Callithrix jacchus: one gene and its partners. The protein of the gene in region 1 interacts with the protein of each later gene in a pairwise test. Links are inferred from orthologs where the notes say so. Each region holds a gene or a part of one and is shown in the gene's direction. Other genes may lie near its edges.

Evidence for each region.
Region 2: the proteins of REL (region 1) and ASAP3 interact in binary tests that used the Homo sapiens proteins (3 or more experiments, as listed by UniProt). The two-hybrid records come from large-scale screens. The link is inferred for Callithrix jacchus from reciprocal best matches to the Homo sapiens genes REL and ASAP3.
Region 3: the proteins of REL (region 1) and ATG9A interact in binary tests that used the Homo sapiens proteins (3 or more experiments, as listed by UniProt). The two-hybrid records come from large-scale screens. The link is inferred for Callithrix jacchus from reciprocal best matches to the Homo sapiens genes REL and ATG9A.

Annotation. Positions count from the first base shown.
Region 1 is NC_133515.1:53,248,107-53,251,856, reverse strand, and holds the start of REL (proto-oncogene c-Rel), read left to right. Parts: upstream 1-1,107; 5' UTR 1,108-1,361; coding exon 1,362-1,371; intron 1,372-3,750. UniProt on the Homo sapiens protein: Proto-oncogene that may play a role in differentiation and lymphopoiesis.
Region 2 is NC_133508.1:60,176,603-60,179,140, reverse strand, and holds part of ASAP3 (arf-GAP with SH3 domain, ANK repeat and PH domain-containing protein 3), read left to right. Parts: coding exon 1-97; intron 98-1,177; coding exon 1,178-1,409; intron 1,410-1,966; coding exon 1,967-2,057; intron 2,058-2,268; coding exon of another isoform or gene 2,269-2,322; exon of another isoform or gene 2,323-2,411; intron 2,412-2,538. UniProt on the Homo sapiens protein: Promotes cell proliferation.
Region 3 is NC_133507.1:140,966,479-140,970,228, reverse strand, and holds the start of ATG9A (autophagy-related protein 9A), read left to right. Parts: upstream 1-1,186; 5' UTR 1,187-1,270; exon of another isoform or gene 1,271-1,622; 5' UTR 1,623-1,787; intron 1,788-2,305; exon of another isoform or gene 2,306-2,308; 5' UTR 2,309-2,357; intron 2,358-2,737; 5' UTR 2,738-2,766; coding exon 2,767-2,869; intron 2,870-2,978; coding exon 2,979-3,022; intron 3,023-3,750. Other genes in the region: tRNA endonuclease ANKZF1, read right to left, coding at 400-547. UniProt on the Homo sapiens protein: Phospholipid scramblase involved in autophagy by mediating autophagosomal membrane expansion. Cycles between the preautophagosomal structure/phagophore assembly site (PAS) and the cytoplasmic vesicle pool and supplies membrane for the growing autophagosome.

The DNA of each region.
Region 1 (3,750 bases):
AGCGGCAAGGGCACGGAACTTTGGAGTCAGACAACCCTGGCTTTTAACTGTGTCTTTTCTTTTACCAGCATTCTGAAGTACTGTATGTTGAAGTAATTCTCTGAACCCCAAATTCTTCAGCTATAAAATTAGGAATAATAAATGTCATAGATGAGGTATAGAAATTATCTGACCTATAGCAGGTACTATTCAAATGAAAGTAACGAAGTTATCCTAGGTCCTTTAATGGCCCTAAATGTTTGCTCCATTTCCCCTTTTCTTGGTATCTATGTGAAATCTCGGAATAAGGTGTCCACTTCACTAAACTTGAGTACACTGCGTAATGAGACAACCAACTCGAAGTGCAGACCTTTTGAGTTTAAACGGGTTTCAGCAGGTAAAATACATAAAGTTCACAGTGCCCTCGCAATTTAGGTAGACGAAAAAAAATCAGCCGGGGGGTGGGGTAGCTCCCCGTATGCAAATGTAGGAATTACAGAAGAAGACAGGCCCCCGCGCTACCGCACTTCCCCCTCCACAGTCCCGCGCGCTGGCGCGGGGGTGGAGATTTGCATGTGCGAAATCGGGAATAGGGGGAACCACCTCTCGAAAACCCCGGCCGTCGCCCTCCCGGGCTGCCAGGATCAGCCCCACTTGGCCGCCCGACGCGCCCCCAAAGGCTCCCGGGCGGCCGGCCCTCTCTACGTCACCCGCACCCTTCCGCCCGCTCCTGAACTTTAAACTACACTCGGAAGAACAACCTGGAGGAGGGGGATTTCTTAGGAGCCGGCGGCCTTCTCACGCTGCGAGCCGTCACCTCCCGGCGCCCACCGTTCCCTGCGCTCCCGAAGCTCCCTAGGTTCCCGCAGCCTCGACCCCCTGCCAAGACCACCACCACCACCACCGCCGCAGTGGCAGCAGCAGCTCTGGGGGCGTACGCGCGGAGGCGGGCAAAGAGCGTGAGCGTGCGCGGGGGGGGGGGGGGCCGCGAGGACGCGACGCCCCGCCCCACGCCTCCGGGTGAAGGCGGCCGCGTCGGGTATACGTCAGCCGCGGGAAATTCCCTCCCGCCAAGCAGCCCGCCTCTCGGCCGGGCGGGGAATCGGTTCTCGCCCCGCTCCGCCCCCTGCCCCTGGCTCCCGCAAGGTGGACAGGCGACGCAGGGCGACCCGGAGCGCAGGAATTCAGGGGGTGGGAAGGTGTGATCCTCAAACCCAACCGAGGGCGGGAAGAAGGAGGAGGACCCTGGGGTGGTCGGGGGACTGGGGGCCCCACCGGCACAGGTCCCTCGGCCTCCTGATTGACTGACTGACGGACTGACTGCGGCCGCCTCCGGCCGGGACGCTGGAAGCTGCCTGCGGGAAGGCGCGGGGAGCGGAGCCATGGCATCCGGTGAGTGTTACCGGGGGAAGGAGCTCTTCTGGGGATCCTGCCGCTGTGAGTTTAGGGAGCTTAGTTTTGGCTGGGGCGCGTTCTGTCTTTGAAATGTTATGTGATAAAATTGTCAGCTTTTTAAAAAGTCACCTGGTTCAGGGTTTGCGTCCGAAATCCAAGCCACGCTCTGTAATTTGATCCTGTTGTCATAAGCAAGAACCTTAGAAATTGCCAACGACTTTAGGATTAGGGAAGTCATAATCGAACTAAAGGAGTACGAGGAGTTCCCATACTTAAAAATGGGTATGTATTGAAGTGGTGGTTTTATGTTTTAGAACAAGAATGAGGAACCTTCAGACCTCGGGCAAGCTCTCTCCCCCTTTTTAGTTTAATTTCATCAGATGCAAAGAGGTGATCCCCCTTGTACTGACAGTTGTACAAAATGTGGCGCGGCTTTAAAAATCATCCGTGGTATTTTAACACGGATTTAAAAATCCGTGGTATTTTAAGTTTTAATGTTGCTTCGACCAACTGTGGGCCGGACACGGTGGCTCATGTCTGTAATCCAAGCACTTTGGGAGGCCGAGGCGAGCGGCTCACCTGAGGTCGGGAGTTCGAGACCACCCTGGGCAACATGGTGAGACCCCGTCTCTAATAAAAATACAAAAATTAGCCCGTAGTGGTGGCGCACGCCTGTGATCCCAGTTATTCGGGAGGCTGAAGCAGGAGAATCGCTAGAACCCGGGAGGTGGAGGTTGCAGTGAGCCGAGATCGCGGCCCTGCACTAAAGCCTGGGGGACCAAGCGAGACTGTATTTAAAAGAAAAAAAAATGTGAAGTTTTTATTGTGAGATAAAGCACAAGGTTTCTAATCTGACGAATAGAGACGTTGAGTCCCCGCTCCTCCCGGCTAAAAATAAGGGAAAAGGGAGTTTTAGAACATCGTGCTTTTAAATAGTAAGTAGGATTGAATACAGCTTTATTACTTTTAAATATATAATTTCCCTTAATAAATGCTCGAATCTCTTCCTTCCTCTCTCTCTTATACATAAGTTTATAAGAAACATTGCAAGGCAAGGAAGAGTCTCGTGTATACACAGACATGGTTTGGGGCTGCCTGTAGTTTAAGGTTAGGGGCGTAGGGGAGCCGGAGCTGGGGCCGGGAGATAAATCAAGTAACCTGGGTTCGATTTGGACTTTTACCAGGATTTTGGCAAGGTGAGTGGGGAGCGCTTTCCAGACAGAGGAAGCAGCGTGAGCAGAGGCAGGAAGGGCTAAACACATATATTAAATGCTGTACTAAGAGAATGAAGAGGGGGCCCCGTTTCTGAACTTGACTCCCATCCTCAAACTGCCTGGTTCAGTGACTCTTAGAAGAAAGCCGATGTCTAGTAGAGAAGAGGAAGTCGAAGCTTAAAGAATCTCTTTAAAAGGTTGAGCAAAACAATGCTGTAGCTATTGCTGTAGGCAGAAAAGGAAATTGGGGTGTTTCACTTGACATTTGATTTCAGTTTGTGGTTGTGAGAATACAAGTGTAGTTTAAAATATTTCAACTTTCCCTTTACGTGCTTAAGTGACCCCAAACTTTCAGATAATTCTGTACGTTTGTGAATTCAAAGCATGTGTAGATTGTAAGTGCTAACTAAGATGACTTCAAATATTTTGTTAATTTATTGGTTATCAGAAAGATTTTGTTTGGAAGTAATGAAGAATACCTAACGTAAGTAAGAAAGTTCAGCCTTCTGGCGATTTAATCAAACATTACTAATATATTGCATGAATGTAATACTTCTAATTTTTTCAAATGCGAGAGAAAACAACCATTTCTATATAGACTATTCTAAGATTCACAGGATTTTAAAATGTGTTACAATTTAAATTTGTTCATTGACACTGTATTTTGTGCTGTTGTGAGGACCAAGGATTCCCTAAATGTAAGGAGGAAATGTTTAAAGAAATGGAAAGTTTTAAAGGTTTGGAAGTTGAAGGGTGATTTAACTTTTTGTTTTTTGGTCTTTTCTGAATAGTTGCATTAAAATGGGACTATTTAAAATGTAACAAGTTATTTAAACTGTAATTCAGTTATTAGAAAACTGTCAGGCCTGGAATTTAAAAAAATGATTAAACGAATCTGTGTACTTTTCCTTAATCTGTTATATAAAGACCTTAGAGATAGAAAAAGATTCGCTAATGAAATTCTAAATTCCCATTCTGTTTTGAAACAGTAATTTAACCGGAAGAGTGACCAAAAAAAATTGCTTAGTTTTTCATTGCCTAATTTAGATTCTGTTGGTAGTAAGGTAGCATTAAAACTCAAAAAGTACTTTTATTCATTACAAAGCGTTTAAGAATATTTCTTCATTTCTCACGAGATATCATATATGAATAGGTATATGTA
Region 2 (2,538 bases), on another chromosome or scaffold:
AACCTTCAGGGCGAGAGTGAGGAGTGTCCCCCGCCCTTGCCCATCAAAAACTCTTCTCGGACCATGGTCCAAGGGTGTGCAAGACGCGCCAGTGGAGGTACAGTTGGATGCCCAGAAAAATGCTCACCATGCCATTCCCAGAGGGTCTGTGTATGCCGGGGCACTGAGCTGAGTGCATATATTAGTCCATAGCATCCTCAAAATGACCTCCAGAGAGGGGTTCTCATCTTCCCCTCTTTTACCTTACAGGTAAAAGAACAGAGGTGTTAAGTCACATGCTTAAGATCCCACAGCTAATAAGTCTCTGATGTAGAATTCGAATCCCAGACCATATTATTCCAAATTCCTCAATGCTTCACTTAGGAGAGAGAAGGATTTATTGAGCATGTACTTCATCCTGAGTCCTTTGAGGGCTAGAAAGACACAGACTAGGAGGGGAGGTAAAAACTGGAATACAGTTCATTATAATACAAGGCACAATGTGATATAGCATGTAGATCTCCAAAGGACAGGGACTTTAAGTGTTTTGTTGAAAACAGTTTGTCCAGCACCTAGTGCAGAGCCTGGCTGTTCTCAATAACTATTTGTCAAATGAAGAAACAGACTTGTTCTGGGAGGTTAGGGGAGGGAGGGAGCATGTCCTGCTAGGATTGGGGGTTGGCTTAGGAAGGCTTCCTGGTGGGGGTAGTATCTGAGTGAGCCTGAGGGATGAGCAGAAGAATCCAAACTGAGGACAGAGTGTGAGCACAAGTAAAAAAGTGAGTTAGCCTGGCCCTGGCAGCCGCGAATGAAGGCTCTAGTTGAAGAATACTGGACAGCTAGAAGGGGAGAGAACCATAAGAGATGTTAGGCCAGGTGTGGTGGCTCATGCCTATGATTGAGGCAGGTGGATCACCTGAGGTAAGGAGTTTGGGACGCCTGGCAAACATGATGAAACCCTGTCTCTGCTAAAAATGTAAAAACTAGCCAGGCATGGTAGCACACCTGTAATGCCAGCTACTTGGGAGGCTGAGGTAGGAGAATCGCTTGAACCCGGGAGGCAGAGAGTCTGGGTGATAGAGTGAGACTCTGTCTCAAAAAAAGAAGAAAGAAAAGAGAGATCCTAGAGGCCAGAGACTACTTTGAGGTTGGGCACAGAGCAAGTGGTAAAGACAGGCTTCATCATTTCTGATTCCAGATCGTTCTGAAGTCCCCAGCCTGAGTTCAGATGCCTCTGAGGCCCCTGAGAGCCTGGGCAGTCCAGCCTCCTCCTCCTCCTCCTCCAGCCTCATGAGCCCCACGGACCCTGGGGGTCCCAGCCAAGCCCCACCCAGCTCTGAAGATGACCTCCGGGAGCCCCCAGGCACCTCCAGACCCAGCCTGACATCCGGGACCACCCCTTCAGAGATGTATCTCCCCGTCAGGTTCAGGTTGGTGAGGGCCCAGTTGTGCAACCAGGGCAAATCCCGTGAATTCTCTGAGCATCCATTGATTTCCACACCTCTATAGCGTACCTGCCTACAGACTGGGTCACACTCTGGGCCCATGACTTATGCAGAAGTGCTGGACCCTGAGACCCCTTCCCCCTTCACAAACTTGCTCCCAAGTCCTGCATGAAGAGCTGAGGAGGAACCAGGGATCCTGCCTGCTGATGCTAGAGTAGAGGAGGGTTAGTCCTACCTGTGTGGCTTGTTCTAGGGGCTCCCAGTGGCATCTTCACTGTCCCCACCTCCAACCCAGGATCCAGTCTTCTCCCTTCCTTGCAAACCCATTCAGTCTGGAATTTGGAGAGAAGTAGACCTGGGGATATCCCCAGAGCCCTCTGGAGGTCAATTCCATGGGCCTGTGATGGACCTGGCCTGGGGGACTTGTGGACTCTACCCACCCATCCTAAGCCCCCAGACTGGCTCTGTTCCTGAGCCCTTTCTCCCAACTCTGAAGAACTCTTGGGACACCAGGATCACATTGGCCTTTCCCTGCCTTCCAGCTCTGAGAGCACTCGCTCCTATCGGCGGGGGGCACGGAGCCTGGAAGATGGTTCCTCAGCCAGGCAGCCTCTGCCCAGAAGGAACATGCCGGTAGGAAATCTGGGACCATGGTTTGAGGGGTGGTGGCAGGGTACCTGGGAGGCAGAGTTAATTAAAATTGAGTAGGCATACTGGGGAGGGAGACCTTCCCGTGATTGGGGTACAAATGGACCCAAGCAGCCACAGTTTGGCCAGTCTCTGTCATGGTACCCAGCATGGTTTGACTAGTCCCTGTCCTGGTTCTCCTCTTTCCCTGCTCTAGCCCAAGGCTGGGATGACGAGGCCCAAGCTTTGGCTTCTCCCCAGGGGAGTATGAGGAAAGTTGTGTTGGCCAGGCCAGTCACTCAGAAAAGGCATCACTTCCTTGCAGAAGAGGCAGGATTAAGGTAGCTGTGTACCAGCCCTTGTTTGCCTAACTCTCCCCTTGTTCATAAGTCTTCTGGAATCCACAGGGACTTGAAGATCTCAGGCATAGAGGGATGTGATAGGGACAGGTACAGCTTCTCCCTGCTGAATCACAGAGTCTCCAACA
Region 3 (3,750 bases), on another chromosome or scaffold:
AAGGCAGAGGTTGCGGTGAGCCGAGATCGTGCCATTGCACTCCAGTCTGGGTAACAACAGCAAAACTCCGTCTCAAAAAAAAAAAAAAAAAAAAAAAAAAAATATATATATATATATATATATAGAGAGAGAGAGAGAGAGAGAGAGAGAGAAAGTTTGAAGTGTTTTTGAAGCCAGTGGTGTTAAAGTGAGGAGACATATGCAATAGCAAGACTTCTTTGATAACAAGGGTTGTGCTGGAAATTACCCAGAGATTAAATGAATTTAATCAAGCAGAAAGATAAATAATTTGGCCTCCTAAGCTCGGGAACCAGTAAGAATGTGTTCCGTGAACGGGCAATACACTCTAAGGAGCCCTGCCACATTTCACATAGGTCCACTCCAAATCTTCCCAGATACCTGGACAGGAAGAACGCGGAGCACGAGCCAGAGCCTCACCGGGCGCATGGCTCGCCAGGCTCAGGCCCTGAAGAACCGGAGCATCCGCGCTGAGGTCAAACAGGGAGATGGAAGCAGGAGCCGGGGCTGCATCTGGAGCTGGTGACATGGCTGAGCAGAAATTATTTAGCAGCAGCTCCTGAAGCAGAAAGCGAGTAAGAAACACAGCTTCCCCAAACGAGATCCTACTGCCGCGTCTCCTGCTTGCCTGACTTGGTTTCTCCTGCACCGCAAGGCTTCTCGTCCCTCATCCTGCTACCAGGAGTCAGCTGTGAGATGACTACCTTGACCCCAAGCCGCTTTCTCAAACCCCCGTCCCGGCCCACAAAATAATGAAATACAGGGGAGCATCCAGCTCTCAAATGAATCCAACAGAGTTAAAAATCACTGAGGTTGCCTAGCCGAACTTTCTTCGTTACCCATGCGACCAGCAATGACGGGCCCACAGCAACTCGCCCACGCCCTTAGAAGCCGCACCAAAAGTCCCGGGAGCTGAGCAGCACGCACGTCCACAGGTCGATAGTCGGATTTCTGCAACACAACAGTCCCCGTCACTACGGAGCAGCAAAGAGGACAACCAGTGTCGTCCGCACCTGAGCCCCGCCCCACGTAGAGCACACTATTGGGCCGCTGACGGCCTAAGACCCGCCTCGAGCCCTTATCCCCGCCCCTTAAGCCAAGAATTGGCCGTTGTGTCTCCACCCCCTGCGCTTATTGGCCAGCCTGGCTGCGGGTGACAGTGAGTGGCAGACACCAGGCCTAGCGCTCCGGGTCTGGCCGAGCCGAGCCGGGCCGGCGGAGCCCTGGAATCACCCGGGTCACTGTTCCTGAGGTGAGACCTGAGACAGGTTATTGGAATCCCAGGGCTCGTGTCTGGCTTTGCCAGGGGTGCTTGCGGAGCCCTAAGTGAGCTCGCGGAGAGTAACGGGGGAAGGGGCGCCGCTGGCGGGGCGGGGGCGCGCAGCCGGAATGTTTTGATTGCGGGCGCGCGCGGACGAGAGCGCGCGCGGGCGACGAGGCCGCGCGTGAGGTTGTCCGCTGTTGGTAGCTGGGAACCCTTGGCCTGGGGCCGGGCGACCCTGGGGCGAGGTGGAGTCCGGTCGCCACGGTTGGGTGTGGGGAGGCAAGCCAGCCCACCCAGGGTATCAGCTGTAGGGCTGGCTCGATCCCTGCAATATCCGCAGGAACCCCTGAGCCCAGGCCCTGCCGGCTGGGGCTCCACGGGCCCTGGTCCACACTGACCCTGTGAGTGGTGACTTCCCTGAGCTTCAGGACTCTCACTAGCCCAGGGAATCCCACCGGGGCCAGCCTGGGCCAAGATCCAAGGCCCGGAGGGGCTGCACGGACAGGTGAGTACCACCTTGACCGACCATGCCTGGCTCCCACGAGGGAACCCACAAATGCCCCTAGGATCGGGGGTCAACACTGACCCCGTCAAGGTTTCCCATCCAGCAGCTCTGCCCACCTGCTGGGTCTTTGGTGCTCGGGAAGCAGGAGACGGGGTTGACCAGAAAGGTCCTCTTCAGGAAAGACTCTATTGGGGTTTTGTGGACCCTGAGAAGTATGTCATTTCTGAGGCTGAGATGGGGCAATGGAGAAACAGTCCAGAGGGGTCCCTGGCCTCAGACCTGTACCGACTTACTCTCCATGGGGTCCCTAAGTTACTTCTTGAGACCCCAGAGTTGGAAGAGTGGCCCTGTTTAGCATGGTCAGAGGAAGTGCTCGTAGTCCTGGCTGGAAGGGTGCTTCTTCCCCACTGCAGCCTTCCTGCCCCGTGCTTGGCCTCCTCTTGGTGGGGTGTGGACGGTTGGGAGGGTCGGGTTCTTTTTAATCCCCACTCTCTGGGGCCTGACATCTTCTCCCCCAGCAGCTGCAGAGCATCGAGGGCTGGAGTGGAGCACACACTGTCCATGGAGCTGGTAGGGCCATATGCTTTTCTCAAACATTTGTTTACAAAATGCTTCCAAATTGCCAGTCTCTTGGGAGACCAGGGTTCCCAGGATGGGCAGGGGAGGAACTCTTCTATCCATTAATTAGAAGATGAAACAGCCCCCAACAAAGGGGCCGATCCTGGATTTGGGCCAGGAAGGCAGCAGTAGACACCCAGACTGGCCAGAGTTAAGGCCTCCCAAGTCCTGAGCTTATGGCCTTCCTTGTATTACTACTCCTCTTCCTCTCCAAGGAGGCTGGGAGTGGAGACAAAGCTGAAGGGTACTTTCTCAGTCCTTTTGGCAGTAGGCTGGGCAGCCAGGGGCAGCAGCTGGGACTGAATCAGGGTCTCTTTCCTCCTCATTGGCAGGTGGTCAAGGTGGACAGGGGGTGGTGGTGATGGCGCAGTTTGATACTGAATACCAGCGCCTAGAGGCCTCCTACAGTGATTCACCCCCAGGGGAGGAGGACCTCTTGGTCCACGTCGCTGAAGGGAGCAAGTGTGAGTTCTTGGACATGCCAGCCAAGGGGAGAGTTGATGGAAGAGCACTGAGGGAGCAAGGGGCTTGTGTTCCTTCAAAGCTCTGACCTCTCTGTTCCTGTGCCCACAGCACCTTGGCACCATATCGAAAACCTTGACCTATTCTTCTCTCGAATATCCTTTGTGTCTCTGAGTTGGAGCTTGGGGACCTTTAATGTCTCTCTAAGCCTGGTCTCTGGTGGGAAGGGGGGGTAGGTTTGACTATAATCCCTGGAAGGGGTAATGGAGCTCATCCTGAGGCTGAAAGGGGCTGGTGAAATCACCATTAAGTAATGATAGCCCATATTTACCAAGATCTGTTCCTGTGTCCTCTCTGTGTTGTTAATTTATAGAAACCTTTCTAAGGGTGAGCCTCCTTTTTTTTTTTTTTGAGATGGAGTCTCAGGCCAGGTGTGGTGGCTCATGCCTGTAATCCAAGCAATTTGGAGGCCAAGGCAGGCGGATCACCTGAGGTCGGGAGTTCAAGACCAGCCTGACCAACATGGTGAAACCCCGTCTTTATTAAAAAATAAATAAATAAAATGAGATGGAGTCACTCTCTCTTGCTGCTGGAGTGCAGGGGCAATCTCAGCTCAATGCAACCTCCACCTCCCAGGTTCAAGCAATTCTCCTGCCTCAGTCTCCCACATAGCTGGAATTATAGGCAAATGCCACAAAGCCCAGCTATTTTTTGTATTTTTCGTAGAGACAGGGTTTCACCATGTTGGTAAGGCTGATCTTGAACTCCTAACCTCAAGTAATCCACCCACCTTGGCCTCCCAAAGTATTGGGATTACAGGCATAAGCCACCACGCCCAGCCTAGCCTCTTTTTTTGATGGGCTGTTAATAATCGTAGTAAGTA